Pelodiscus sinensis: one gene and its partners. The protein of the gene in region 2 interacts with the protein of the main gene of each other region in a biochemical or structural test. Links are inferred from orthologs where the notes say so. Each region holds a gene or a part of one and is shown on either strand. Other genes may lie near its edges.

What was found. The genes of interacting proteins can lie anywhere in the genome.
Region 1: of the proteins of NEDD4 (region 2) and AKT1, one has a biochemical effect on the other in vitro, tested with the Homo sapiens proteins (3 studies listed by BioGRID, with this or other methods). The link is inferred for Pelodiscus sinensis from reciprocal best matches to the Homo sapiens genes NEDD4 and AKT1.
Region 3: the proteins of NEDD4 (region 2) and TNIK form a complex in vitro, tested with the Homo sapiens proteins (2 studies listed by BioGRID). The link is inferred for Pelodiscus sinensis from reciprocal best matches to the Homo sapiens genes NEDD4 and TNIK.

Annotation. Positions count from the first base shown.
Region 1 is NC_134714.1:18,006,235-18,016,975, forward strand, and holds the start of AKT1 (RAC-alpha serine/threonine-protein kinase), read left to right. Parts: upstream 1-5,636; 5' UTR 5,637-5,780; intron 5,781-5,948; exon of another isoform or gene 5,949-6,282; intron 6,283-6,333; exon of another isoform or gene 6,334-6,465; intron 6,466-10,741. UniProt on the Homo sapiens protein: AKT1 is one of 3 closely related serine/threonine-protein kinases (AKT1, AKT2 and AKT3) called the AKT kinase, and which regulate many processes including metabolism, proliferation, cell survival, growth and angiogenesis.
Region 2 is NC_134724.1:28,000,805-28,011,499, reverse strand, and holds the start of NEDD4 (E3 ubiquitin-protein ligase NEDD4), read left to right. Parts: upstream 1-6,175; 5' UTR 6,176-8,070; coding exon 8,071-9,621; intron 9,622-10,695. UniProt on the Homo sapiens protein: E3 ubiquitin-protein ligase which accepts ubiquitin from an E2 ubiquitin-conjugating enzyme in the form of a thioester and then directly transfers the ubiquitin to targeted substrates. Specifically ubiquitinates 'Lys-63' in target proteins.
Region 3 is NC_134720.1:39,645,585-39,656,065, forward strand, and holds the start of TNIK (TRAF2 and NCK-interacting protein kinase), read right to left. Parts: upstream 5,106-10,481; 5' UTR 4,686-5,105; coding exon 4,629-4,685; intron 1-4,628. UniProt on the Homo sapiens protein: Serine/threonine kinase that acts as an essential activator of the Wnt signaling pathway. Recruited to promoters of Wnt target genes and required to activate their expression. May act by phosphorylating TCF4/TCF7L2.

The DNA of each region.
Region 1 (10,741 bases), on a different chromosome or scaffold from region 2:
AAGGCTTTGAGCAGTCTCCTGACCCAGGCCTTAATTGGCCTGTGGGCGGGGGAGCGCACGAAGCCTCCTTCCACTCTGCCAGGAGCACGTGGGGAGAGCGGAGGAGGCTTCGCACGCTTGCCCACCCACAGGCCAATCAGCGCCTGGGGGGCAGGGAAGCTGCATGAAACTTCCTCCGCCCTGCCCTGGCCCTCTGAGGAGCCGGCAGCACTTCGAAGTGCCACATGCTCCTCGCAGGGCGGGAGGAGGCTTCCCGCGCTCCTCCACCCCCAGACCCTGATTGGCCTGTGGGCGGAGGAGCATGCCAAGCCTCTTCCAGGGTGCTTAGTAGGAAGGTGGGGGCAAATGGGCTCCCCTACCCCCAGACCAATAATGGTCTGGGGATGAGTAGCCCCGCACCTCCCTGGGTGGCCCAGGGCTACTTCAAAAATGTTTGAAGTGGTCCCTGGGCAAAAATGATTGTCCACCCCTGCCCTAGCCTCTGTTAATCTGGAAATGGGTGATGGGAGGGATGACATGAGGATTACCTGTTGTGTTCCCTCCCTTTGGGACAGCTGGTACTGGCCATGGCCTGCACAGAATACTGCGTTAGATGGACCATTGGTCTGATTGGTGTGGCTGTTCCTATGTTCTTAATCATTTGACTGGCATTTTGAATAGATTTGCTACCTGTGTTTCTTCAGAGTCAAATCTGCTGACTTTATTGGTGCTAATATATTTTTATCCCTTTCTAGCAGTCCAGTAAACTGAACTGAGGGAATGTGTAATAAATTGTTTTCTGGCTTCCACATCATCAATATACTTGCTAACTAAGTTGCAGTTACAGAAATTTCAATTATAACTGGTGATTTTATGATTCTGAAAGAATTGAAGTTGACTCTCACAACCCAATTTGAGTTTTCAATACTTATAGCTGGGGAAAAAAACATCTTTTAACTAGTAAACATAGTAAATTTGATATGGAGAAACAAAAAATATGTCAGTCGCATTTTTACAAACTCCTTTTTCAGAACAGAGCTGCACTCAAATTCTTTTAATATAGTTAGCAGTGGTTCAAAACACTGCAATAGAATAATTTTAAAGTCGAATGTTATGGACTATTATTTTTGCAGAACCAATATTATCTAGTGTCTTGAACAGAGCATTGAGAGCATGGATTCCTGGACTGCATTCCTTTGACCGTTCTATTGCCGCTGATTCTCTATGCAAGCTGAGGCAAGCCATTTAACCTTTTTTTTCTTAATTTATCTATTCTGAAAAGGGATTGTAAAGTACCTTATTGAGGAACTGTGATGCCTATCTAACTAATCAATATTTATAACACACATTGGGAATCTTGCACTAAAAGTGTTGTATTATAGTAGTATATTTGGATAATTGATGGCATTATCAAGATATTTAAAATGTTGATAGAACTAAAGATCTGTTCAATGCAATTAAAAATAATTAGAAATCACTTCACTTTAACAATTAACTTCATTACCTTAGGAACCTATTGGAACTGTAATAATGAGAAGAAAATGTTTAAACCCCTTTCTTGCAAGTAGATTGGGCCTTAGATTGTAAACTCCTTTTTAGATTAGTTTGTAAACTTTTGGGGCATCCTTGTGTTTTAACGGCACCAACAGAATGGGACATTACTAATGAGTTGGCCATGTGTGCACTTCTATAACATTAAATAATAACAAGTCTCTTGTTATGGGACTGCCAAAGAATTCATATGGTATAATCAGATGTCTCCACCAAAACTAATTTATGGGAAGCCGCATAATCTAATGGTTTGGGCAGGAGACTGTGCATAACAAGACTTAGCTGTATTTTCAGTCCAACTACTGTTTTACTATGTGATCATGAGAAAATTACTTACATACATGCTTGCAGTATCAGGATGTAACTTTAGGCATGTGAGTTGATCCACTGCCTTCAGGTCTGTCACCCAAAAAAAGGATCTCTCTGATGTGAAGAGACCACATCAAGAACAATAGAAGACTTTTAGAATAAATTGATACATTGAACAACGATAATCAGCAGTACCAGACAGCATTCACCCAGCATTCTGGTGGAACTCAGATATGAAATTGCAGAACTACTAAGTGTGGTATGTAACCCAGGGCTGGATTAAGGGGGAGGGGGTCTAGCCGGGCAGCTGCCGGGGGTGCCAACCTATGGGAGGCGCCTGATGGCAGCTGTAAGGGGCGCACACGCCCATCCGCGCGGCACCCCTTAGAGCTGCCATTAGGCACTGCACGCCCGGGGCCTGTGCGGCACCCCTTAGAGCTGCAATCAGGTGCCGCACGCCCAATTGCAGCTGGAAGGAGTGCAGCGCACCAGGGGTGGAGCCGCGCATGCGTTGCGTGCCTGCTGCCCAGGACGCAGGAATGGCTCGAGCTGGCCCTGATGTAATCTATCACTGAAAAGCTACAGAGGGGTAGCCAAGTTAGTCTGTAACTGGAATATATTTAAATGCTGGAAATAAACTGCCTATGGAGGTTGTGGAATCTCCATCTCTGGAGATAGTTAAGAGCAGGTTAGATTGACATCTATCGGGGATGGTCTAGAAGGTGCTTGGTCCTGCCGTGAGAGCAGGGGACTGGACTTGATTACCTCTTGATGTCCCTTCCAGTTTTAATATTCTATGGAAAAACTTAATGAATAGTCTAGCAGCACCTTAAAGACTAACAATACGGCTACGTCTAGATTGGCATGATTTTCCGCAAATGCTTTTAACGGAAAAGTTTTTCGTTAAAAGCATTTGCGGAAAAGAGCGTCTAGATTGGCACGGATGCTTTTCCACAAAAACAGCTTTTGCGGAAAAGCGTTTGTGCCAATCTAGACGCACTTTTCCACAAAAAAGCCCCGATCGCCTTTTTCACGATCGGGGCTTTTTTGCGCAAAACAAATCTGAGCTGTCTACACTGGCCCTTTTGCACACAAAAAAGGACTTTTGCCCGAATGGGACCAGCACAGTATTTCCGCAAGAAGCACTGATTTCAGACAATAGGAAATCAGTGTTCCTGCAGAAATTTAAGCGGCCAGTGTAGACAGCTGGCAAGTTTTTCCGCAAAAGCAGCTGCTTTTGTGGAAGAACTTGCCAGTCTAGACACAGCCCACATGTAGATATATCATGAGCTTTCATGGGTACAACAATGAAGAAGTGGGTTTACCCATGAAAGCTCATGAAACCATCAACATGTGTTGTTAGCAAATACTCTAGCAGCACCTTAAAGACTATCACTGAAAAAAAGCCTCTGTTACAAATCACTGGAAGGTAGCTAATGTAACACTGATTTTTAAAAAGGTCTTCAAAGATGATCCTGGCATCTACAGACTAGTGAGGCTACCTTCAGTACTGGGCAAATTGATGGATACCATAGTAAAAAAACAGAATAATCAAACACATAGATGAATAAAATTTGTTGATGAGTCAATGTGGCTTTTGTAAAAGTAAGCCATACCTCACTGATTTAATACAATTCTATGAGGGAGTCAACAAACATGAGGATATGGATAAGCCAGTCAACATAGGGTACTTGGATTTTAAGAAAGCATTCAACAAGGTATCTCACTAAAGAAACTAAGTGGGGTAATAGGAAATGCCCTCTCATGGCATCTTTCAGGATCCAAAGTTCCTACATATGCCTCTCTTGACATGTGGTATACCTCATGCAATGTATGTACTAAATGACCTAAAAACTATGGGGGCGAAACAAGACAATTAGTACACTCTTGAATGAACTCACTCAGAAAAATGATAAAAGAGAAAAATACCATATCACCTGAGAGTGAATATTTTTCACAAAGTGATTGGCTCACCCTTATGCATATCTATATCTGATCTTTTAGTCCTCATATTCAAAGGAAACCTGCACAGCACTTTCAAAAGACGAGCCAGTGATCTTAAATTCATAATTTTACTAGGCACTAAGAATAAAGGTCTTAATAAAGCCACCTGATGTATAGCTTATAATAATTTGTAACCCTCTAACCCCCTCTTTTTATCCCATGACTACAGAGATATTAATTTGTTCATTTACCTTGAATAGTTCCTTATAACATGTGTTAACTACTTATGCTAAAGTCTGTTCCACCATGCATTTCTTGCACTTCTCTCTAGTCTTTCTGCAGCTCTAGTGCCCACCATTTTTGGAAACAGGATATTGGGCTAGATGGATGATTGGTTTGAGGCAGCATCACAGCTTTTAGTATTTGTAGAATTAGGGTTTTAATCTCCACTTCTGCCTTTGCTTTGAGCCACACCGTAGTATTCACTTTTGTAAAATGCTTTGAGATCCTCAGATAACTGCAAAACACACTTTTCACCATGAATCAAGAGAGAATTTGAATCTGCCTGTTCAACAAGCTCTCCTGATTCATTTCATTCTATCTGCTTAGCAATGTTCTCTTTTAGCTAAAAGATTAATTCAAAAGGAATAAGAAAAGCTTTCTTTCCAAGACACACTTCAGTGGAGTAAATAGTTCTTGCAAATATAAGGCTCCAGAGATAAGCAATTTGATCTGCATACCACAACCATGCATGCATGGAGTCTCCTTGATTCCTCATGTGTGTGTGTATTTATGAAATATGAAAAAGTCAAGTCTAAAAGGAAGACAAGCAATAATGTTCACGAATAACTTCTCTTTGGTGAAGTTTATGTAGGAGAAGAATGAGCATATTTCAATCCATCCTACAACATTTGAGGATTACTGTTGCTACTCTGCATGTTGAATAGAGAGGTAGCCGTGTTAGTCTGATCTTGCTAAAACAAAAGGAAAAACTATGTAGCCCTTTAAAGACTAACAAGATGGTTTAATAGCTTTTGTGGGCCAGACCTACTCTGGCCCTGGAAAGCTCATCACCTATTAAACTATCTTGTTAGTCTTTAAAGTGCTACATAATTTTTCCTTTTGTTGTTGCTACTCTGTTTCCTTTAGGACATTTGTAATGTATTTATGTATTTATTTTCCCTAACTGCAATACCTCTTGTCTCATATCTTAATTTCCCTCTCTGATCTATAACTCACAATTGCCCACATCTTTGGTTGCTTTTGGCTATACATGGGTGTCTTCACTGAGGTGTCAATTCCAAGAATAAAAAATTATGAGTCATGCCCTCTCCAGTCAGGAGATTGGCTTAAAATTCACTCAATTAAAAAAAACCCAACAACACTCTCAGTTGTGTAAGTTTTTTTAGTTGGCTGCTGTGTTCTCAGCTTTTAGAATTTACTTGATTTGCATTTGCAGACCCATCTTGAGAATCACGAGGGCTTAAAAAAAACCTTTTAAAAAAAATGAGAACTGACATTCTCACATTACCAAATTAATTCAAGCCCCAGGGCTTTATTGAAAACACCAACTACTGGGAGAGTTGGCCGCACAGCTTTTGTTTTGTTGTTGTTATCATCCTATTGTGGTAACACACCTTCCTGCGCTAGGGCCCCACCACGCTAGGCACCGTCCAAAGCTAACAAAAAAGTCCTTACAAACGCACAATCCGGTCAGTTTCCCTCTTGTGTGTGTTTGCCTTACAGTTTGAGCGGGGTGGGTGGGTGTGTGTGGGGGGGGAGGTGGGGAGCTACGATTCGAGCTAATAAAGCTGGACTCCGGTCCCACCAGCGTGGTTGTGTGTGAGTCGAGCTCTCCTTTTAGTAAACAGCAGTGTGAGCGGCAAGCCGCCCTGATTGCCGTGATAAGCCTGTGTGCGGTTAGGAAGTTAGCCGGAGTTCCCCACGTCTCCTGCAGCATGCCGAACAAACACCTGCATGGGCGCCCCGCGCCGACTGTGAGTGTGTGGGGAGGGGGCCCTGGACTAGCGCCAAGGGGGCTGCAGCAGGAACTCTCTGCCCCCCCCCCCGCCCAGCCGGGCTCTGCAGGCGGCTGGATTCCGCGGGCGGTAGGACCCCGCAGGCATCGCCGAGCAGACACAGCCCGTGTGTGTGTGTGTGTCTGTGCGAGCAGCAGGCAGAGGAGGGACCAGGCGAGCGCAGGCTGGCGGAGCCGGGAGCCGCGGCAGCAGCCCAGCCTGAAGGGGGGTGGCTGGGGCAGCAGCCAGCAGCTCGGGGCCCGGCCGCCCCCTCGTGCGCCCCGGCCGGAGGCTGCCCAGCGCCGGAGCGGCCAGAGCCAGGCGGGGGTCCGGCCGGCCGGCGCGCTCCATGGGCTGATCCCCCGCGCCGAGGGGCGGAGGAGCGGCCGGCGAGGGAGACCAGGCGGCTGCCCGCGCCCAGCTAGGCCCTAGCGCCGGCCCCGCGGGGGAACCCGCCCAGCAGCGCCGCCGCTCCGGGCGTGTAAGTGCCCCGCGCGCCAGGGCGGCGGGAGGAAGCGCCGGGGCCTGCTTCGCCGGAGCGGGCGGGGGGCGCTCGCCGGGGAAGAGGGAGGCAGGATGGTGCGTGCGGCTCCCTCGCGGGGCCGGGCCTCGGCGGAGGGAGGTTTCATGCGCCGCAGTGGCGGCGGCTGCGGCACCCCGCCGGGTGAGCCTGCAAGGAGGCTGGGGGCTGGCGCCCTGGGGCTTACTCCCCGTTCTGTGCGTGTGCATCGGGGCATGGGGCGAGGAGGGGAAGGGTAGGGCTGCGCGAACAGGAAGCGGCTGCCTGCTCTGGGAATCCAGTCAAGGAAAGTGTTTGTGACTGGAGCTTGGGGGGGTCTCCCCGCAGAGGGAGGAGTGCTGAGCTGGATCTTGCACTCTCCCGCCTTGCTTCCCACCCTACCTTCGCCCCACAAATGCATGGGGAGGAGCGAGGCTGGCTCTGTCTTCGAGCCTTCTTGGTTGGATTCCTTGGCTATCAGGAGCCTTTTGGTTTGCACAAGCTTTTATGTGGCACTGTTTTTCAGTCAGTTGATTGCTTATAACAGGTTTCTGAGACTCTCCAAAAGTTATGACACAATTTAGGGAAGTACTGTGACCAGTCCCCGTCCCCCCCGCAACTTCAGTGGTCACTGAATTGTATCTTGGAGACTTCTAGCACCTTCACCTCACTTCAACTTCATTGAAAAAAAAAACCACTCTCTGCGTATGTGGGTGTTTCCTTAATTTGACCTGTGTATTTTGGACTTTGTTTATCATAACCAATATGGAGATGCATTAGACATTTTGGTGTGGTGGTGTTTGTACTCATGTGGTTGCATGTTTTTTTGCTTAGGTGAAGTGTTAGCTTTATTTCCCCTTACCAATATATAAGAAGCAAATATCTGATTTGGTTTGTCTTTACATCGGGACAGGAAGTACACTTTAAGTTGCAGTTTTTAAGGGGAGTGGCCGGATTAACTTTGTTATATTTGTTTACAAGTAAAAAAAAAGTGTGGTGTGGCTACTAGAGTACTTTAGGTAGCTGTTAATTTCATAGGGGCAGCCAGGATATTTACCTATAGCACAGAAGTATTTGTGTGTTTAAATACATTGTCATTACCTTTTACTTTTTCAGTAGGTGGGCTATCAAGAATTTGTGAATGATATTTGCAAAATATGAAAGCGTGCAGTCTAATTAAAGAAGAATCCCAATTTATTAAGCAGTATCTATAACTCTAGTTTTCACTTGCAAGCTAATAATATTTGCTAGAAGAAAATTCATTGAGAATTAAATGGATCTATGACTTACTTCATCCTTACGAGGGGTGGACCCAAAACTTTTGTTTACATATGTGTTCCCTCTCATTCCATTTACAGTCTCCTGACTCTATATGCTCATATAATTTGAAACATATACAAGAGTTTTATAAACTATAAATTGAGTTTTCTCATTTGAGGAACATAATGAAAATGTAAGGGTCTGGAAAAGCTGTCCTCTATTTCCAGTCATTCTCACTTTTGCCCTGCTTTGAGTTTGTCCACCCAACAATCCGAATCCGAGATAGAACTAAACTTGTATATCAGTGGTCTCCAACCTTTTTGCACCCAAGATCATTTTTAAATGACAGAACAAACCAAGATCTACTACCCCATCCTTCCCCCAAGACCCCACCCCTTCCTTGAAGCCCCAACACGCCCTCTCTATTCTCCTCCTCTCCATCACTTGCTATCCCCAATCCTTATACTGCTGCTTTTTCCCCCCAATTCTTCTGTAGGAAGAGGTTTTTCCAACATTTGGCCTGTCTAGACTGGACCAAATGTCAGAAAAACCCCTTCTTTTGGAAGCCCCTTTATTCCTTGTGGAAAGAGGAATATAGGGGTTACCCAAAGAGCACATTTGCTCTTCCACTAAAAAAAGTGAAAGAACAAATGCATCCCTGGATGTAGAAGAGTTTTTCTGGGATAACTCTGGAATCCTGAAAAACTCTTGGGCTACATCTACACTGGCATGAATTTCCGAAAATGCTTTTAACGGAAAAGTTTTCCATTAAAAGCATTTTCGGAAAAGCGCGTCTAGATTGGCAGGATGCTTTTCCGCAAAAGCACTTTTTGCGGAAAAGCGTCCGTGGCCAATCTACACGTGGTTTTCCGCAATAAAGCCCCGATTGCCTTTTTCACGATGGGGGCTTTTTTGCGGAAAACAGTACTATGCTGTCTACACTGGCCCTTTTGTGCAAAAGTCTTTCAGAAAAAGACTTTTGCCCAAACGGGAGCAGCATAGTTTTTCCGGAAAAGCACTGATGATTTTACATCAGATCGTCCGTGCTTTTCTGGAAATTCAAGCGGCCAGTGTAGACAGCTGGCAAGTTTTTCCAGAAAAGCAGATGATTTTCCGGAAAAACTTGCCAGTCTAGACACAGCCTTGCAGTCTAGCTGTACCCTCATTGGGTTGAGACAGGATGTGTAGGCTCTGGGGTGGGAATGAGGGATTTGGGTGTGGGAAGGGGTGAAAGGTGCAAGCTCTGGGAGGAAATTTGGACGCAGGAGGAGGTGGAGAAGAGGATGCTGGCTCGGGGAGGGGGCTCCAGGCTGGGCAGTGTTGGGGTCAGATGGAGGGTTGGGGTACTAAGCAAGCCAGAGGCGTGTGGATATGAGGGTGCACAAATTTGGGTTGGGATATGTGAGAGGCTCAGGGCAGGGGCTTCCAGTGCATGAAGGGTCGTGGGGGAGGGGACAGTGCAGGAGTGTTACGATGCTGTGGCCTGGAGGCTTGGGATATGTGAGAGGCTCAGGGCAGGGGCTTCCAGTGTATCTAGGGTCGGGGGGGGAGGGGACAGTGCAGGAGTGTTATGATGCTGTGGCCTGGGGGCTTGGCCCCAATTGGGGGTTTGCTGGCCAGGTTTCATTTTTAAATAAACTACTATGTCAAATACAAAAAGTTTCAGTATTGTCTTTATTTATGAGAAGGGCAGGGAACCTGTTTTGAGTCAGGGGTCACTGACCCACAGGAAAGTCAGTTGGGGCCACACAAGTGAGATGCAAAAAAACACCCCTCCTCAACCCCCCCCTCCCGCAAGCCTCACTAATATGGCCCCAACTGTGCTGGTGGGAGCAGGGGACTTGGCACTGGGGAAGGGTGCTAGTGGGTGCTGGGGCAGGGGACAGGGTGCCAGTGGGGACAGAGTTTTGCAGCTGGGGGCAGGGGAGAGGGAACAGGGTGCCGGGAGGGCAGGGGATAGGGTTCTGTGGTAGGGGACAGGGTGCCAGTGGGGACAGAGAGTCTCCTGTACCCGCCGCCTCCCAGGACTCCCCCCTGCAGAGGAGGGAAGCCCTGTCGCATGCCTCTTCCGGGGCCAGTGCGCGCCTCCCACAGAGCAGGGAAGCCCCCGTCGTGTGCCCCCTCCGGGCCTGACTCCCCCCTCCCATAGAGCAGGGAAGCCCATGCACGTGCCCCATCTGGGGCTGACTTCCCCACCCCCCCACTTCCCGTGGAGGAAGAAGTCCTGTTGCATGCCTCCTCTGGGGCTGGCATGAGCCTCCCGTGGTGCAGGGAAGCCCCTGCCTCCCCCCCCCCCCCCGGCCCGACTCTCCTCTTCTGCAGCGAACGGAAGTCCCAGCACGTGAGCCTTTGGGGACTCCACACGCCACAGACCTGGGGCAGGGAAGCAGCCAGTGCATTTCCGGAACCCCCGGAAGTGCTGCAGGACTTCCATCTACCCCGCGGGAAGCTGCCACTACCTCCATTGTCGCTGGAGGTAGGTAGTGTGGGTGGGAGGAAATAAGGGGCCCGGAACACCTCGCAATCGACTGGTTGATCACAATCGACAGGTTGGTGGCCATGGCTGTATAGCTTTCCCACCCCACATCTTGAATAGAATTCTCACCTTGTCTGTTGGGTCTTAGATCATTAAAGACATGAGAGCAGTAAGCAATGCAAACTGCAGTTTGGAAGTCTAGATTAAGTTGTGGAGTCACAGAAAATGAGACATGTTCTATAGTTTTCTTTTGCTCTTAACTTGTGATTTTTTTTTACTCTCACTTGCAATATTTGGAAAATCTTTTCCAAGCCTTACCATAAGCTTCATGTATAATGATGACAAAATATCTGTTCTGACATGCTGGTGGGTTAGGTGGAACATCTGCCAGGCTAATGAAGAACATTGGTAATCATACATAATTGATGCCCCACAACCAGTGTTCTCTCTAACATTTTCTATCTTTGGGTGGGTTGAATTGTCTTTTGGGCAGGTTGAAATTTCTTATGTGCAACACCAATATTAAGGTAGTGAGGGGATATGCACTAGCAACGCAAACAAAAAAATACACATACACACGTTATATATATTTTGAACAGTCCATATGTGTGGAAGAAAATATATTAAAAAAGGGATAGTTAACAAGGAGCAATGCTTACGATATTGAATATGAAATAAAATAAAAAACATTTACACTATCCTTGG
Region 2 (10,695 bases):
TTTGCGGCCCGCAGTGTGGGTTTACATGGGGCTCATTCTGCAGCCTCTGGATGGGATCCTTTGAACATGGCCTCCACTGGGAACACACTCCACAATGGCAATTCAATATAATGGTCTTCTGTTGATATGTGTTTTATTAGTTACATTTGTGGACTGTCATTGCTCAGTAAAAGTGCTGCTATATGGGTGGAAATTGGGGAAAAATATTACATTTTATAAATATCAGCGGAACTGACTTAAATGGGGCCTGCGTGTTGTGTAGTCTTGCCCTAATCTTTGTATTCATGCCAGTCAGCGTGAAAAGCTATTTGCATATATATATTTGCATGTATATGCAACCACACTTAAGTTGTGGCCCTTGGCATGTGCTGTGAGTGTCATTGTGGCCCCTGGGGCTTCCAAAGTTGAGTAGCCCTGGTCTAAAAGTACAAAGTTAGCATCTCCAAAACGTGCTCGTAATCTTACTGTATATTTTAGAAATGTGTGTCTGTCTCTATCTGTAAGTCTGTTTGTTCAAGAACTCCTAAACTGGGGGTGGGCAATAATTGTTGCAGAGGGGCCGCTTAATGAATTTTGGTACGTGGCACAGGCTGGCTTCAGGTCCTCAGAATGGGCAGAGCCTCAGGCAGAAGGGGTAGGGCTAGTGGCTAGAGATAGTGAGTGTAAAAAAGATACTGGGTGAGACAGTTACACAGATTTAGTGTGCGGCACAGAGATGGGAATGTACAAATAACCTGAAATGTACCTGAAGCGTAAAATATGCTCTATTACTGTAAGAATTCACTGGCCTTTCTAAGTTTTATCACATCTCCACTCAAATACTCAAGCACTCCATTGTGTTTACTTTTAGTAACAACATGTCAAATGGTTTAAGAAACAATGCTTGTTCAATCTGATATATTCTGAACTTATTCTGTGTAGAACTGTCAATATTCTTTAAACACCGTAAAGAGAACTATCAAGACCCGATGCCTGTTTGAAGCCAGACAAGATTAAATTAGAAATTAGGCCCAATATTTAAACAGTGAAGAATAGTGACAATTGGAGCCAGCTTCCAGGGGCTGTGTTTGAGTCTCTATTCTTTGATGTCAGTAAATCAATACTAGATATCTTTCTGGAGGATAACTTGTGTTTCACTAAAGAATATTAGGCTTAATAAAAAAAATAACTGAGACATTTTTTGGCCTGTAATATACAGGTGTTCAGACTTCATGATCTAATGCTCCCTTCTGGTTTTGAATTCTGTGAATCTATACAGTGGTCAAGGTTTGTCAGGTTTAATACTAATTTTGTATCTTGATTCTAAATTAATTTGAACTTTTAATGAGTGTTTTATAAAGAATTGTCCTTTTCAGTACAAGATTTGCGTGATCTATATACTGCTTCCTGTTTAATCCTAGAATATTTGCTTTAGCAAAAATAACTGCTGCAGCTTTCCAAATATCTTGACTGACTAATAACTGTTAATCTGTTCCTCTTTCCTAGGTTGATCCTCAGCAGCACAGGCTCCTTTTTGAAGTATTTGATGAAAACCGTTTGGTAGGTCACTGCACATTAGAATATTTGTTCTTTAAAGACATGAATGAAATCAAGTTTAGATGGAAATGTTTAAAAAAGGCAGTTCCATAATTAATTTTTATAAACCTACCAGATTTAAGGCTAAATCTGACAGTTCTTTTTTCTTTTTCTTTTGAAGTCACTACTCTTTGTAATTCTTCTGTTAGAAATTTTGGAATCCAGTGTCTTGTATGTAGTATCTGCTTGTTCAAATGTTTTCATGGATTCTTTGATCTGACTGTCTTTATAGTTTGAGTTCGTGTACTGCTATGGAAACTTGATGGTAGCTTTCTTAAATGATCTGAGGCTTGTTTTACCTGCTACCAAATGCCCTTAGTAAAGATACAGGCTTCTCTGAGATGGATGTGGTTTTGACCACTGTTTTAATAACTTAATTTGGCAAGAAGGAAACATTAATTTTTAAACTTACTTTGCAGTTGTATCTTACCTAAAAGGTTCATTATCATGAACTGGTATGTTGATTAAACCAAATATAGCCTTTTAACTAAAGTTGGTGTACTACTGTTGGCTAGCCAGAGGATACACTAGATCCCTATAAATATCTATTTAAGAAATAAAATTTAACATACTCTTATTCAAATTTGTTAATATTTTTTTACAATACGCCTTCACTATGGATTTGTCATCCTATGATTGGATGAAAACTGGAATTCAGTTTAAAATGTATAGAGAACATTTTAAAATTGATCTTTTTATTGGATACAGAAAATAAAAATTATCAAAATACATCTTAAATTTAAAAATATATTAAAGTATTAACTGTAGTTAGTTGACTTTCTGGTCAATGTGGGTCAAACTTTCTACTTAGGACTCTAAAGGCGTATATTGGCACTTATTCTTCCTGGGTGTATTTAAAAATCTCACTAGGCACTTCTCTGCAGCTTGAGATGACTAAATATCTTTGAAACTCTGGCCCTATGTCCTTCAAATTCTTTAGAATTAGGAGAGCTTATCCTCTCCAACCTTATTTTAAGTCATAGATGGAAGAAAACAAACTTCCCTGCTTTTTCAACTCATTTTCTTAACTTTGAATGAACTAGTCCAAATAAAGAAAATATTTTCTCTTCACCAGCTATGTAAGCTGAATCTAAAAATAATTAGGGCAAAATCTTTTCTGTTAAACCAAAACTGACAGTTTGAATTGATATCAAAAGATAGGCTTTCCCCTATTTTGTATATTTTTTAAAAAAAGAAGCACCTTTTTCACTTAGCAACTTGAAAGCTCAATGATACAGCATATTTCTTAAATTACATTAGTAAATGTAACCCTTAAATTTGAGAATGTCTAAAATACATTTTATTTTTAGAACTCTGTTTTTGATGCTTGCTAATTTTAGCTAAATAGTTAATATATTATAAAAATATTGTTTTTTTTTTTTTTAATCTGCCTTCTTGGAGACTGGCCATCAAGAGCATCAGCTGTTTTAGCAGATTGGCAAATGAACCTCTAGAATGACTTTTGAAGTTTTGTGCATCAGCTTTCCCTCAAACTATAATAGAAGTACTCAAAAGGCACTGGGATTTGGTTGTTAACTAGAGGTGTAATTTCTAAAAGCACCTATATCTTATTTTCGATAGCAGTCTAAATTGCTTACACTGCCGCTTCCCGTTTTGTATGTGTGCAACTGATTGGTTTTCTTTTCTAAGAGGAGTACTTTTGCATTTATCCTTTTTGAATTTCATTCTATTTACTTCAGACCATTTCTTCAGTTTGTCAGATTACTTTGAATTCTAATCCTGTCCTCCAAAGCACTTGCAAACACTCCCAGCTTGGTATTGTATGCGAACTTTAAGTGTCATTTTCTAAACCGTTGCTGAACGTATTAAACAGAACCAGACCTCGAACTAATCCCTCAGGGACTCCACTCAGTATGCTTTTCCAGCTTGACTGAATCACTCTTTGAATATTAGGGTTGGAAGAGACCTCAGGAGGTCATTGTGTCCAGCCCCCTGCCCAAAGCGGGACCAACGTTAACTAAATCATCCCAGCCAAGGCTTTGTCAAGCCAGGACTTAAAAACCTCTAGCGATGGAGATTCTTCCATTTCCATAAGGAACCCATTCAAGTGCTTCACCACCCTCCTATTAAAATAGCTTTTCCTAATATCCAACCTAGATCTCTCCCACTGCAACTTAAGACCATTGTTCCTCATTTTGTCATCTGTCACTACTGAGAACAGCTTATCTCCATCGTCTTTGGAATCTCCCTTCAGGTACTTGAAGGCTGCTATCAAATGCCCTCTCACTCTTCTCTTCAGTAGACAAGCCCAAATCCCTAAGCCTTTCCTTGTGCTCCAGCTCCCTAATAATTTTTGTTGACCTCTACTGAACTTTCTCCAGGATGTCCATGTCTCTTCTGTAATGGGGGCAGGGAGTCGGGATGAGGGCAGAATTGGATGCAGTACTCCAGATGTAGCCTCACCAGTGCTGAATAAAGTGGAATAATCACTTCTCTAGATCTGCTGGCAATGTTCCTTCTAATGCACCCTAATATGCCATTAACCTTCTTGGCTTCAAGAGCACACTGTTGAATCATATCTAGCTTCTCGTCCACTGTAATCCCCAGGTCCTTTTCTGCTGAACTGCTGCTTAGCCAGTCAGTCCCTAACCTATAACAGTGCTTGGGATTCTTCTGTCCCAAGTGCAAGACTCTGCGCTTATCTTGTTGAACCTCATTGGCCTTTGGAAATGGTTTTCCAACCAGTTATGCATCCATCTTTATGATTGCTCCATCTAGGTTGTGTTTTTCTTGTTTTAAGGAGAACATGTGAGACTGTATCAAAAGCATTACTAAAGTCAAGGTAAACCACATCTACCGCTCCTCCCATCCCATAAGGCTTGTTACCCTGTTAGGTTTGACACAATTTGATCTTGACAAATCCATCTTAAAACTAAACCTCGTATTAATCTGTGGTATAGTTTTAATAACAATGTTGCCTTTCTGGATTGCAGTGCCTTCTCTCACACTTAATGTGTTCAGCAATAATCATTTTTATTATCTCAACTGCAGCTGGTTGTCAACAGGTGGGATCAAACTTTAGACCTCTGAAGCTTACTGAATAAACCCATGTTGCATGAGCTAAAGGCCAAATGACGATTAGCTCAGGCTGTAGTAAATGCCTCAATCTCGAGATGTTCTAGGTACCATTAGAAGGGATCAGAGTGCCACACCAAACAGGCCTGCATTACACTGCCAGCAAGCTTCATGGATTATTTTTCAGCATGTACTTTCATCTGCCTAAGATTAGAGAAAAGGCAAAATTCTCTATTAGCACTAGCCTCTGAGAATCTGTCAAAAGAATGGCAGTTCAGGGCTTTATAACCTCTTGTCTTGTGAAGTTCCTCATTGTGATTTTTAGAAAGCAAGCATGGCAGTAATGCTCATGAAGTAGAGCAATCTGGAGAGAGAGGTGGAAGTAAATAAGGCTTCTGTGTTGAACTCATTGCTAAATGACAAGATTGTCAGGTCCAGCTGTATTCACTAGCAGGATTCTTTTGTAGCTGATGGATTGACAGTGACTAGCCAAGAAACCTATAGGTGGCCAGACACTGCTGGTTTTGCTATCCATAACTGGGTAACTGTTAAACTATGTGAGACATAAGTTTTGCTATTGCACTTCTTCACAATCTGGATACTGACTGGTAACAATGGTTACTACTTCCTAGTAGAACAGTTTAATGTGGGAGAAAGTGTTCCCAGTACATAGTATTCACACCTATGCAGCGAGGAAAGTACCAGTGAACTGTAGTCATTACTATTGCAAAAATCTTGGATTGTGAGATTTAAAACAGGATTGTTGATGTGAGGAAAGAGCTGGCAACATACATCAGTAAGCCAATGATCAACCAGACCATAATGGATCTGAAGTAATTTCATTATCAAAGTAACCAGGGAAGATCATGCTTCAAGAAACGTATTATCTAGTGTGAAGGGACACACTTAAATCTAAAAATACTACTACATGACTAAACCTCTGACTGCTTTACTTAGCATAGCTCTTAGTAAAGGAGGAGACATCATGCTTAAAAGTCTAATTCTCTTGTGGTGAATGTTGCTAAGACTTTTATCAGAGTGTTACTTTCTATAGCAGACTTGGATAACTTCAGGCCCATCGATGGTGGGAGGGTGCTAAAAAAGGCAGCTGTCCCAGGGCCTGGCAATTCAAAAGGGCCCAGGGCTCCTGGCCACTACTGCTATTACTGCAGCAGTGATAGTGGCCAGAACCCTAGGCCCTTTAAATAGAGGTCACAGCCCTGAGGAGCACACTCCTGAGGGCTGGTTGCGGGGGAGGGAAGTACCCAGCACAGTCTATGGGTGAGGCTGAGGGCTGGCTATTCTCAGTCCTGCCCCTTCTGGGAATGCAGTCACCTTGCCCAGGAGCCTAGCATTTCTTTTACCCTCTCTTTCTCCCACCCCTCAAGTAAATTGATAAGTTTAATTTTGTTAACCTGTAGACTAAATTAACCGAGTCATACTTAAGTCTCTTTGTTTCTAGTTTTTTTTTTTTTTAAGGCTTCTTCTTTATCAACTTGAAACTCAAAAAAAAAAAAATTGTATTACTTAATGGTTATACATAACTTTCTGAACCTGTGACCAAAACAGCTCTTTGAAAACCCACACTGTAACTTTGATTAGTGATGCTTGGTGGAATAGCTGAACTGTTTGTTATAAAAAAGACAGTAAATAAGCTATTATATGTTGATTAATTTCTAGCCATTAAAATGTGGGTAATGAGGTTAAATGAACCTTGGAGTATTAACAAAAAAACCTTGTTTGCGTGCAAACTAAGTAGTGTTAACTTTAGTCCTGGCCCTTATTTGGAGAGGGGATAAAGCTGTTCTTTTTACTGCATACTAACCAAAAATATAGAAAAGGTCATGTAAATATTGAGCAGAAAATATCCAACAGTTTGACCTATGATGAAGGGATAAATGGTCTAGTGTTCTCTCCTCCTGTTTGAGCTTTACCAGACCAGTAATTCATTCCTTCTTAATATGTTAGCATTTAGTATTGCATGAAGTATCATTTCTGTTCACTGCTATTGACACTTCACAGCAAGACTACATTTTTTCCAAAAGTCCCACTAGGTGCCAGCAAAGGGCCTTTTCTGTCAATATGGCAAATGCCTGGAGAAATTGTCATTTTTAGTCTTTCATTTTTGGGGAAAATTACCAGTATATTTTTAGTTTGATTAGTCTAATTGTGTTTCCATAGTGGCTCTCAAAGCACTTTATTAAAATTGCACCTCCTTTCTATTCTTGTTACTGTAGTTAACTGTGAATGTATAAGATTACTGTACAGTGTGCATACAGTACCTTATGGAATGTAGCTTGGAGTAGTCTTCATCTGTGAATTGTATGCTATATAAGCAGTTGTTTAAATATGCAGCATATACTGTACAGCTGTAGAAAGACCTCATATGAACTGTGTGTGTGAGATAAATACATATAAAATCTCTGTAGGTACGGACCTGAAGATTTCACACCAAAAGCATTGTTGAACATTTCATACTCTGCCTCTCTAATTCGTAGATAACCAGACGTTAGTCCAGAACATGGACTGCTGACCAACAATTTAAGCACTTGAGTTTGAAATGTAAAAAGTTGTAAAAGTGTGAAAAGTCTAACTCAGCACACTTTTAACCTGAAAGACTAAAATATACTCACTAGAAAAGAACCTCTGGGCTTCACTGAAACCTTGAGCGACAAGCTTTTAATCAGGAGGAAATTTTATGGTTTTATTTAACCCAGTTATATCTTTGTTAAAAACTGAAGTAATGTGGCACTGTAGGATTCCATGAACTGTGAACCATATTAAGTGTAATTCCAGTAGTTTTCTTAGGACTCTCAAAATAACTCTAATTTTAACCTTTTGTTAGTATGAAATGGCTTAGTTCATTGGTTTTTGCATAACCAGATGTAGTTTACTTGCATGGGTTACTATTTGGCAATTCAATCCTAGATTTGATACTCTGTTATAAGGGACTTCATTGCTACCAACTTCCTGTAATTCTAAACCTGTGGGTAAAAATATTAGTAGTCATACGCTGCCGCAGAGAGCATAGACATGTTGGTTAAGCTAGTGTAAGTGCTGCAAAATTTTCTGTTTTTAAACTCCTGAGAGCTGGAATATTCTTGGGTTATATTCATTTATGTACATTACAGAAGGTAACATTGAAACAAGTTTGGCAGCGTGTCAGTATACAGCAGCTGAGTTAATCTTGATGGTCGTTGGAAATCAAGTGCTTTTTAAGTGATTGCATTCTGTCTACAAACAGACAGCCCAGAAACCACAGTTCAAGGAATGGCTGACTTGTTTTAGGAGGTGCTAGTTACTGTCTTGCCGAAATAGGGACAAAGGCTGCATCTTTCATGGGATCTCACTTTTGCAATGTGTTTGAACTGGATCACAGTTCTGTGCAGCTGCCTCTAGCCTTTCTGCAAAAGGAGCTTTATGGTTCTTACTTGCTAACATGTGTGCAAATGAGAACAAATGGCACGACGGTTAAGATTGCATTTTGCAGCCCGAAGAAGCAACACTGATCCGTTATCAGAAACCTCTGGCGATGGTTTGGATAGTAACATTCATGTGTATTTCCAAAGACCTTCACAGAATTCTGCACCTGATATTATAGAAATGAAGCTGACTCCCAGGCAAGCTGGCTTTCCAACTACAATGCAGGAAATAATTAATCAACAGCAGCATTCAACTGTTTCTTCACTGCAAAAGAACAACAAAAAGAGCACCTCACTGCAGATTTCCCTGCAGTCTAGAAGGTATAGTGAATGTTTTCAATCTGATGCAGTAGTTGCTAGTGAAGACCCTTTCATCAGTGTTGGTAATGAAGGAAACACTTGTAGCAGGAATATGGCTGATTACAGATCTAATATGTTAAATAGTAGCAGCCATTTAAGCAATGCTACCATGTGCAATACTAATCTAGGTGATATTGCAGCCAATAACACTGGATACCTCAGTAGCACTGGGAGTGACTATGAATCGTGTGCAAGTATCACTAGTGATGGAGACTCATTCAGCAACAGTATCATCAGTGACAGTAGTAGTTGCACTCTTTCCACAGGTGGTGATACTTTCTGTAGTAATATTGTATATAGTACTTCTTCATATAGAAGCACGGCATACAAATGTAATTCCTATAGGAACAATATATCTCAGGAAACTTCATGTAGAAGTAAAAATAATACTGCTTTTGATCAAGATGGTTTGGAGCAAATGAAATTGCCAATGAGGAGGAAAACTAAAATTCCACTACGGCGTTTTTCATCATTGGTAATCTTTCCTAGGAATCCTTCGACAACCCCACCAACTTCTCCAACATGTTTGGGTCCCCTGCCAAGCAGAGGACCTTATCAAACATCACATCGATTAGTTATTTCTCCTACTGAACTGGCACAGAATGAAGATCAAGCAACTTCTACAGGGTTCACTTCAACATCAGTCAGTGGACTTCGACTGTCTAAAACGGTTGGCTCTCCTGGTGACACTAGAGACATTAGACCCCTTTACTTGAATAATTCATTACAAGACAAAAATCAGGCCACAAGTAGAGTTGAACAAAAGCCATCTGATAGTTTCTCTTGTATTTCAGTTCATTTCACTCAGCAAAGAGAATCTGCATCAAGGGATGAAACGGTTAATGGTTGTTGCAGTCCAGAGTTATCAGAAAAGGAGTTAAATTTGTACTCTGATGCAAAGTGCTCTCATTTAAAACTGATACGTAGCACATCTGCATGTTTGCCCTCTAAAAAACATTCTGAGTATCAGATTCTTATTAGCGAATTAGAAAGACCAAATACACAAATGAGGACAACCCACCTGCAAAGAAGTGTTTCATTAGAAGGATCTTGTCAGAAAGTTTCTTGCTGTTTATCCAGTCTTAAATACAAGTATCCTAAGGCAGAGACATCGCAGTTGCACATACAGTTCACACCGGGAAATGACAGAAAAACTAGTGGCTTTCAAAAAAATTCCAGTACCTGCAAAAGGGAATCATCAAGTAGCACTTTGTGGAAGCCCTGTAAGGTGAGGGTTTTTGTATTATTTTCAAAGAAAAACTGCCAGTGGATCTGAAAATAGCATGATAGCTTGTAATAATTTGGTCTCTTCTAGTGTATAATATCCTTTGTAGCTGAAAATTCCCAGTAAAGCACCTGAACTTCAGATATTAATTCAGAATCATAACTGATTATTTAAACCATTTATCTGCATGTAAATTACTTTATTATGTAGTAATCTACATGTTTAAGTTCTTGACTTAAAATCAAATTTGAGTTAAAACTTTAACTGTATTGTTAATCCAAAACAGAACTAATTGTTGCTGAAATAACTATTTAAAGATGCCTAAGAATGAATACGTTACTATAATCTTTTATTTATTTTATGTAAGTTTAAAAATTTTTGCAGAAACTTGCTGTGTTGAGAATTAATTAAAAGTAACATTTGAGCAGAGCAACTGTAAAATACTATTTGTATCTGTATACACCCTGAGCCACAGGAATTTTAAGTGTTTCCTCCCCTTTTTTCTCCAACCACTAGTTCAGCCTGAACTTTATTCTGTAACTTAATATCTTTTCCAACAACATTGCAGTCTGAATTAGTTCTTGAGTTTAGTAGTTTTAACTTTTGAGTAATAAAACTCCTCTCAAGCTAAACTTCAGAAATTTGTTCTCTTGTATTCAACGTGAAACTTATATTTGTTAATAATGATAGAACCATAAGAAAAGTAGGTTTACAAATGTATTTAAATGATCTTGAAAGTCATTCAGAAGCTCTTGCAAAATGTCAGACTTGCATAATGCTGTTACTTATGAACAAAAATTGGCAATAGTATAAATAGGCATTTTTGTATACTGGAATTGTAAGTACACACTAGCCTTAGTGAATTGACATTTCCACTATTGTACCACTTTCCAGATACAAATGAAAGGGGAGCTGCTAGTGATCTACAGTTAATACTAATCTTAGAGTTGTTGTAATATTACCTTGAAATCTTATCCTGCAGATTTTAGTTTTCAGTGAAAATATTACCTGATTTCGACCCAAGTCTGCATTCCTTTGCAGTGTATCTTCTTTCTTAAAATCCCTGTCAGTAACTTT
Region 3 (10,481 bases), on a different chromosome or scaffold from region 2:
GGAGCAGAGGAGTTAAGGGAGGCTTACTCCTGCCCTGGCCCTGCACCACTCCGGCTGGGGATCGCAGTGGACAGACGAACACGAACCTGCCCCAGCCAAGGGACATGCAGCCCTCCCCCAGTTGTTCCCGCTGGAGCTGCAGTTGCCATGGAGAAGCACTTCTCACCTGGCCCCAAGGTGCTGCAGAGAAAGTGGGTTGGGACAGTCCCCTTTCCACAAGACAGCCTGCATCCTGATCCCACATCCCCAGACCCAGAGCAATGATTCAAATGAAGCATGTACATTTCATTTACTTTTACAAAAACCAAAAATTAATTGAATTAAAGACTCAGGCAATGCTGGGTAAATCTCCTAGATATATTATATGCTGATTTATAGCGTGTTTTGAATTTAGCAGTAGGAAAAAATATCCTATTGGATCTCTTACTTAAATCCTCAACTATATGTTGGCAACCTCCATTATTTCTGAAACTGAACATTATTTTGCTAATAGCCAAGGCAACTCAACTCATTCTGCTATTAAACAAGTTGGAAGAACTGGTAAAAATATTAAATAACCTCTTCTACGAAAGAACATTATTTTATTATTCATCTAATCCCCATGGCAGTGTACTATATGGTGCTACTCATCGACCTTCTGGACGGTTGGTATTTTAATAATTCTTCCCATATTTAAGGCCTTATTCTGGCTTTTCTTGAGCTCTCAACTTTCCCTCTGGGCGCTAAGGCACACATGTACCATGATGATGAGCTCAGTATAAAATGATTGGTGGAGACAGACAGCAAAAAAGGCAGAACTGGGCCCTAGATATGCTTACTAGATTCACCAATCTATATATTTTAAGCAGATCACACCTCAGTGCATAATTTTTGATTGCTTCAGACATTTGTTTCACATGCACACACAACTGTGCTGGGCCACTGTTTTGTTGGCCATAGCAATGTGGAAAAACTTTATTTTTTAAAAAAATTGCATTTATAATGTAAGCTTAGCATCTATAATGTAAGCTTAGCATCCAATTCTGCAGTTTGCTGCTCAGGCAAATAGTCAGTGAGACTACATAAGCCACTAATACCTGCTTGTGTGAAAAAGGCTTTGTAGGACCCTGGGTTTTATTCACACCATATTCCATATTTAACTACACACCATATATTAATTCAATGAAAGTGTAGAATATTCCCCTATAAGAGAGAAAAAGAAACCAGAAGAAAGATGACAATCTCTTTAAGCAGCAGCATAGTGTAAGTTTACTTTACTGCTTATTAATAGCATGATTACTATGCATTGTATTATCTGATTGATACATTTACAAAAACAAATTTTCAGTTGAATAAAACATGATGATAAATTTCATATGCAGTTCTGTTAGTATCTCCTATTTTGTTTTTAGGCATGAACTGTGCTATCAGCCTTGCTTGGAATAGCTGTCTGCTTCTGGCTTATAACATTTTAAATAGCTATTTCTCATGATTTCACACATGCAGAGAAATGGACCATGTTTCCTCTACCGGGACACACACATTTACAAAGCTGCAGCAACACAGCCCCTCCCTTTCCTTATTTTGTAAGGAATTAAATTGTGTGAGCCTTATGAAATTACTCCTCGCTGATATGTTTTGTGCTCTGGCAGCAAATTTACTATTGATTTCTGATTCAGACACTGTGGAATGATTCAAACTCCTCAACGTATCAGCTGAATAACCTTCAGTTATTCTAAGTGCTAAATGAGTTTAGTTTAGAAGATCCATTCTTTCACAAATTAGGGACCCAATTTTTGTTTGACTTGAATAATTTAAATCAAAGAGCTATAATAGGCCTCTCCTGTTTAAATTATTCATTGTTTGGTATTCTTCCTCTTTATATTTTGAACACATCCAGGAAATGTCTGCTATGCCCAGGAAATGTGTAGTGTGTACAGTGGGGGAAAAAGCATTAGAAAATAAAATGAAGGTCAGGTCCAGATGAGTTAATGACATGTAACATTCTCAGGTATTGAGAAAAAATTGATCTCTATTGCTAAGGGCTACTTTCTAAACTGGAGCAGCAGCTCACCCTATGTCTTGCTGACCTTGGAACTTCATGCAGGGTCAAATGTTCATATAGATTAACTGTTCTTGAATAATTTATCTGATGCGCTAGATACAAATCTTTTTTCTAACACGTTTCTTAAATCTGGGCTATCTGGACAGATTATCTTCACTCTGGTATGTGAAAATTCACAGGGTAGCCTTTGTTTTTCCTACACCCTCCTTCCCCACCAGTCAACACTGACATCAGTCATCCTTCAGGGGTTCAAAGTGGCAGCATAAAGAGAACTCAACATTTTGATACTGTTGAGGCAGATCGACCATTAACTCAAGCCAACAGATCCTGTAGCCGACTAAATTAATGGAGGCTGGGTTTTAGAGGACAGAAGCACAATGCCATGGAAAGTGTGCATATCAGGAGTCGTGATAAATGCAGTTTCAGCAGAGGATTTCATATCTCCATTTGTGGAATTATGTTTTTAAAATGCAAACAAAATACTGCTGAGAGGCTAAGAGTATCAATTGTTTTGGGCAAAATATATCCTGCCCAAGTTCTGCCATTGAACCCCCCGCCCACACACTCACACAAACAAAAATATGACAACATAATTTTAAACAGTCAGGACCTTAATACTAAGGAAATTCTTAAGTGTTATAAGAACACTAAACTGCTGAGCTTCCTTAACAAAACACAGTTATGCCAGGTTCATTCATCTCTCAAATTGCATTTGCTTTACACTGGCATTAAGGTCAATAACATTTCTCCTGATAGTCCTCAGCAGGAGTGAGGTGAATTGGACGTAAATATTTATTTTTAAAATATATGGTCCTAATTTTCCAATCTTGTCTATGCCTTGAACTGCTGAGCAATCATTTACACCATTATTCAGCCAGAAACTCACCAGTAGGAATGTGGGGTGAATGAATTAGACAGGAATCTTATTTCCACTGAAGCAAATAATATTTCTACAACTACACTCTGAAAAGTTCTTTAGCGGATGCCACCTTTAATTTTATTTTTCTTTCACATTTTTTTTTAAAGTCAGTGCCAGCACTCTTGCTGTAATAAAACAGGCATGAGCTTTCAGACAGGAATTTCAGCACCCATGTCCATGTTAGGTACTACTCCTTTCACTAACCAATAGATGAAATCAGTAATATATTCTCAGGGCCAAAAGGATGGAATAAAAGAGTTACAGGAGAGGGGACAAGTCAGATCACAAAGAAAGTGATGGCTGCCATATTTGGTAAACTAGACATCTAATGGTACATTTGAAATTCAAATAAGAGCTTTCGCTTTAAAAAGGTGGGGGCAGGATAGCTAATGCAAACAGATGAAGACACAAAAAAAGCACAGGGTTTAGCCTCTGTGTTTAACAATGCACTGTGCCACAAGGTGTGACCCTCCAGGCCCCAAATCCCACCCCCCACATCGATTCAGTTCCATTGGTGAGCGGTGCAAATATAAATACACACACGGTGTGTACAAGCACTAATAAGCATGTATTTAATCAAGCTCCCTAAGACAAGCCGGTGCCTGATGAGAATGTCAAGGCGAGGTGCATCCCATCCCCTGAGGGCCAGGGAGGCGAGGAGGGAAATCATTAAGGGCTCATTATGTTCGAATTTCACAACACTATCTGCAAGATGGACTCTATCACCCCCTTGCTCCATCCAAGGGAGAGGCAGCGGCGGAGGCAGGCCCCAGGCAAGAGCATGCGGATCAGTAGGGTAACGGCTGCTGTAAGAATCAGCACAGCGGAGGGCAAAGGGAAGCGAAGCCACATCCTCGGCGCGCGCGTGTAAATTAAAGCCCAGCATCTCGTCTGTGTGTGTGTAAATTAAAGCCAGCGTCTGTGTGGGGGGAAGGGGGGATTAAAGCCAGTGTCTCCGGCACCTGCCTGAAATGTCACACTTCCAGGTGGAACCCACCCGCAGAGACAGCCAGCCCACACAGCGGAGAGCGAGCAGAAAGCATGTCAGAGGGAGACACACACACACACACACACACACACACACTCTCGCGTGCACAGATGCTGGCCGCCCAGCAACGGGGGATATGACACATCTGCTGTGCAACAAGCCCGGACTTGGCCCCACATTGCCCCACGGACACCAAAAGCCGGCTCGGGATCTGCATCCCACCCCCCTCGGCAGCTACGTGCCGAGCACACACAGCGCTGGGGGGCAACAGACTATGTCGTGGGCGCTACAGACAAGCAGCTCACAGCGGGCTGGTTCTCCAGCGCGGGGGAAGGGAAGCGGGGGAGTGACAGGTTGTAGCGAGGCAGATTTTGGTTCCCCTCCTTGGATCTTCAGAAAGCATCTCACACACACACACACACACACACACTGCTGCTCTGTCTCACACAGTGTTGCTCTCTCACACACATACACACACTGCTGCTCTCACACACACGCACGCGCACCCATAGCTGCAGCCGAATCACACTGGCAAAGCCGAAGAAACTCCCCCCCCCCCCCTGCAACCCGCTTGCATACAATGGCAAACTTATCTCCACGCAAAGCCATAAAGCGCGCGGGGTCAGAGCCGGGCGGGCGCAGGGAAAGGGAATTGGGGGTAGGGTTGTTTTGCTCACCCTCAGGGCTGAAAGATCTATCTCATCCAGGCTCCGAGCCGGAGAATCACTCGCCATGTTTACTTCTTTGCCGGAGAAATTGACCAAAGATAGAAAGTAACCGCTGCGCTCTTCTGGCTGGATCCCCACCTGGGTCTATTTCACTCCTCTCCTCATGCGGGGGTGGGGATGGGAGACACCCCCACTGCACACCGAGGAAAAACACGACACAACCAAAAAATAAAGCCCCACTGCAAAACAAAAAATCCCCCAGCAAACAGTGCCTGGGCAAGTCTTCCTCTGCTTGCAATCCTTTAGGTAGGGAGGGCGAGGCCAGTGCAAAGCTTAAGGGCGATGCTGGGGAGTGGGTGTATTTAAATAGGACATGCTTTTTGCTTTTCTCTGGATGGCGGCTGCATTGGCTGCTGTTATAATGAGACACATCAACTCCTCCAGTCGGATGGAGAGAGAGCCACAAAGTGTCTATCACGGCTTCCTGGGAGGAGTGAGTGTCACGAAGTGGGTGTTGCCTTTCCTCAGGAGAGAGGCAGCATTTCCATGCCATGTGTGTTTGCACTATCCTGCTGGGAAAGGAAAGGTAAAAACTGCCTGGAGCTGGACCCTGCCGATTTCTGGACTTATAACCCTGAAATTGGACCATCAAAATAAAGGCTGTCACTTCAAAAGAAAAAAAACACACACACACTCCCACAAACACACACATGCATCTAAATTGAAAAACAGTGTAGCTGTTCCTGCTTTAAGAGCAAAATCTGGACCCTGATATAACCCAGCCCAATAACACTGGGGGGGGGGAGAAATGCATAGTATCTGAGTACTGTTGCATTCAGCCAATTTTACATGCTATATCCCCAAGTTTTATTGTGTAAGTAGAGAAATAAAAATGTGGTCCCCCCCCCACATCCCAGCTTTGTTGCAAACTGATGAAACAGATCTGCAAAAATGTGCATAGGGCACTTGGTCCTGCTAGATTCAGATAGTTCTGTTTAAATCCTAAATCCAAGAATCCCACCACAAGCCATATCGAGAACAATAGCTCCCCACATTCCATAGTAAAAATTCAGAGCCATTTCTTCCAAAAAGCATCACAAATATTTATCCGCTGGTTTCTTCCATTTTTGGCCCCAAACCCTCTAATTATACCATTAACAGACTAACATGATACCACTCCTTTATCATAAGAATTCAGCATTCACACCTTCTGGTGCAGGTGAAGCCACTTTCTGCATATTAAGTTTGTACAATTTGGGGGCTGGAGCCAAAAATTGCCAAGACACAGAGGCTTGAATCCAGATTTTTGTAGCACTCCATGTTTTCATGATGACTTAGAGTCTGAAATTGTTAGGTATAGAGAGAGTGACTACACTTACTCTCTGTCTATGCCATTCAACATGGAGTTGAGGCCTAAAAATGGATTTGAGCCAATGCAAGATACAAGATGGGGGAGGATAGCAGTGCTCTAGCTCTGAGATGTGCCTGTGACTAGATTTTTTGTTTTATTCGATAAGAGCAGCTAGACTAGATGTAGTGTATAATTTTGGGTTTGGGGACAAAAATCAGTAGAAACTAGCAGAATCTAGGAAGATCCAGCTTTTATTTGTTTCCTTATTTGTTATTCTCTACCACCCCCCAAACCTGGTACATTCCTTGTATTTGTTGCCTCAAGGAAGAATATTATAGAAGATGCACTGGGGAGACTGTCAAACTTCACAGGTTTGTGCGGGAATATTACAAAATGCAGGTCCGTGAAGTGGCAACACAACCACACAATAATGTGTGTGCAGGACAGCAGTTGGCTATTAATTGTGCTTTATGGATTAAGATGCTCTTTGCACTACATTTTAGTGCAAACAATCATGCAATTGACAGAAAGGCTTGTTGCCTGCAGCTAGTGTGTCAAGGGCTTTGTAGTCTGAGACGCAGCACACACATATTACCAGGAGTAATTTGGGAAGCAGAGCTAGTCAGTAGGTTAGCCTAGCAAAACAAAGCCTACTGAGTGAAATTTCCCTATCAGCAATAGGCTATCATAACCCAGTTGCAGATCCAGGGGCAGCCCCACCCCACTTTGTCCCCTCTGTTCACGGTCACTGTGCTGTCTACAGAGTGAATACCCTGCAGGGAAGGAAGTTCAGAGCTCTAGAACTGAATCAGTCTTCTTATCATTAATAACACTGATCACAGAGTTCCTGATACATGCAGAGAAATGGAGCAACAGCGTCATCAACCAGTGCTGGTCGTTAGAGCATTTTTTCCTAGAAAATTTCGAGTGCAAAGCAAAATATAATTTGTATAATTGAACTGCCAAATGTCTCAGGTAACTGAAATATACAGAAGTATAATGTTCACAAGCCTGTTTAGTGGTGCAGTGATGCAAACGATCAAGGTTTCCAATACAAGAATAAATAAATCACATGTTGCAAAAAGATTAATCTCTGCTGACATTAAAAGGATCTAATTTAACTCAAATCTTAAAGTAAGGGGAGAAAGGCTTTTACAATATCATGGAACAATCAAATTATTGCCATGATTCTCTCATTCTTTTTCAACAATGGAATTGTCTTTTAAACCTAGTGTTGTTTTTATTGGTTGTAACCTATACATTGCAATGTTGCACTAACACATGAGAACCTGAAAGCGAAATTGGCTAGAAGCCAATAACAAACAAAAATGAAAAGAGTGCTACTGTTTTCATTGTTCTAGATGAGAGAAAGGAAAAGAGAAAAATGTATGTTTAATATTCTTTCCATTTAGAGAAAATAAGGTGTAATTTATGAAACAGTTCATGACATTTATTTTTTTACATGTATAGAGATTAAACCTTCAAGCAGGCATGTTAGCATGGACACCTGCCACAATATGATGTTGTGATGTTGGCAGAGTGACTTTCAGAATTGAGGCCTATACAGTAATTTGTCTTTGAAGATGTAAATATAGAGAGCCAATTTATATCAACAACCGAATAAATAAGCGAAATTATGATAGTTTATAGTATAGTGAAAATTCCAATTTCTTCAATGCACTTCAGTGTGCAAATTGTGGCTCTGGTCATAATGAACATCTGCTGATAGGATGTTCTGCACAAAGAATTACTTTACTATTTGTGTGTGTTTATAATATCCAAATCTGTGGTCACTTTACGACTTCAAAATTATTATAACTGTGCTATGTACAAAGGCTTGGTGGCAGTGGACATGGAATCCAGATTGCAGAAACTTATGATAGCTAGGAAGCGGCCATCTGAACCAATTTATTTTTTAATGGAAAATGCAATTTCTGCAAGATCACAATTTTCCATGGAAAAATTTCAGTTTTGTTGGCAATTTGTGATACTCCATCAGAAAAATTGAAATTAAATATTTAATTTGGTATTAGCTTCACTTGAATCAGAATATTTCATTTTGTTGAACTGACCAGAAACTCATCATTTTTAATCAATTCAGTATTAAACAGAATTTTTCTACTGTGTGGCATTGTCTCATAGGAGCTGTTAGTTTGGGCCTCCATTCTATCTTTTTGGCTGGGCTCACTAGTGGATTACATCTCCAGTGATACAAGGTGGAGTTCCATCTCACCAAGATACCTGGTATATGTAAATGTCATAACTGTAGATATATAGTTGTTGTAGTACAGACAAGAAGCATGGTCCTTAGTGGAGAATGGGGGTTCAGGGTCCTGAACTACAGTTCCCATAAAGCAATGCACTACAATACAGAATTTCAGTTTAATATAATGAGCTGATTTGAAATGCAGTATTTAGGATTAATTCAATAACCAAAATTAAACATTTCTGTTTCAAGAACTAGCAAAATAATTTGTTTCACTAGAAAATTGGGAAACAAAATGTTTTGTCATTTCTAGATTGAAAAAGTTCTGAATATTTCGTTCTGTAAAAAAAAAATTAAAAGTTTTGTCCAACTATAGGACAGATGATTTAAGTTACAAAAATGATTTGAAATATAAAAATAATGATTTAAGTTAAATAATTATTTAAGATATAAAATAGCGTGTTAAAGAGGTACATTTCTTTAATAAGATTCCAGTTGAATTCAATAGGCTTTGTATCAGTTCCAAAAGGATTGCACAGCCTTTGCAAAGAAAAAGAGGGACTGATATAATAGATTGACAATGACCCATCCACTGATATATTTGATTACTAGAAGGAAGATTCAGCTGAGTCACTGGTTTCCAAAAATTCCATGACTATTAGATCACATCTTCAGTTGGTGTAAATTGGCATTGCCACATTGACTTCCATGGTACAGTACTAGGTTGATTTACACCATCTGAGGAGCTAGGCCAACATTTTTACATGAAATGCACTAGTAAAAGGGCATTGCCTAAACACAATAAAGAGTGTTTAAATATTAATACTCTATTAAATGGATAATAATTGGATTTCAAGCTAATGTGATTCCTGCCACAGCTGTGTTACAAGATACTCAGAAATTAATGGCTACTTGTGTCCATCCTGCATCTATTGATCTTCCCAAATGCATTGTAATTGGTACATCAGGCGATTGACGCTTTTCGTGCTGATGGGAGTTGCCACAGGAGAGATGCAAAGCAATGAGGAACACTCTGGGTACTTCACAATCACAGCAGTGACACGTTGCCTGTGGTTTATTATTTATGGCCATCGCTATTGTTTAAGAGAACAGATGGCAACCACACCAATAATGAGTGATTGCAGCACACTCTCTGTGCAAGCCTTACCTGCATCCTTGAGTCACTCCAAAACAGGGCATGGCATCATGCAACATGATGCAAGCCACTACACACATTAAGAAGTGCCATGGGACATCGCAAGGGAACTTCACTCTTGTTGTCTTAGCCTCTCTCTTGAGGAAATGGACCTTGCTTCCTCAGGAGTTGTGTACGTCAGCTGATATTGCTTGGAAGAGGAGTAGACATTAGAAGTCACAGTTAGGCCTTAGGAACGGGAACCGTGGGGTATGATTGTGGCATCCTGCTCCAGGTTCCTCAAAGCCCTGTAGACTTCACACTGTGCAAGATCTCCATTCAGATTTGCAATGGAGAGCATCATGGGGTAGCACATAGCATATGGGCTATGAATGAAATCCTGGCCACATGGAAATCAAAGGCAAAATTCCCATTGACTCTAGTGGGGGCCAGCCTGTCACCCTCTGTATTTTCATTTTAGTAGCCTACATTGCTGGGACTACTCCTGCTTCTGAAGCTGGGAGTCTGTCACATTTGCATTCTTGGGAGTTCAGCAGGGCTAATTTTTTGTGTGCCAGGCCTACCAGATTTGGCCCAGAGTGAATTTATGACAAGAAAAGCTTCTTAAATAGTTAATTGTTCTATTGTTTAAAAACAAAGCTCTGTAAACACTGCAATGGAGAAATCAGTGTGGGCTCTTTGAAACAATACCATAGATTTCACCTACAAAGAACACCACTATGGGCACATCTACACAGTACGGCTAAAGCCAAAATAAGCTACACAACTTCAGCTACGTCAATTGCATAGGTTAAGTCAAAATAGCATATTTTGGCTTTTAGCGCTGTCTACACAGCAGGAAGTCCGAGAAAGAGCATTCTTCCTCTGACCTCCCTTACGCCTCATGAAATGAGTGTTACAGGAGTCAGAGAAAGAAGTCCTCTAGCTCAATCTTATGTCAAAATAACTGCTTGTAGTATAGACGCGGACTATGTTATTTCAGAATAACGTTATTCCAAAATAATACTGCTGTGTATGTATTTAAATATCTAAGGGCACTGCAGATGGAGATACAGGATGGTGCAATTCACCATGTTGTGTAAACACGATCTCCAAGTGTATGTTCTTCCCCTATATGTTTTGCATTTAGTTAGGGAACAATATCTCTTT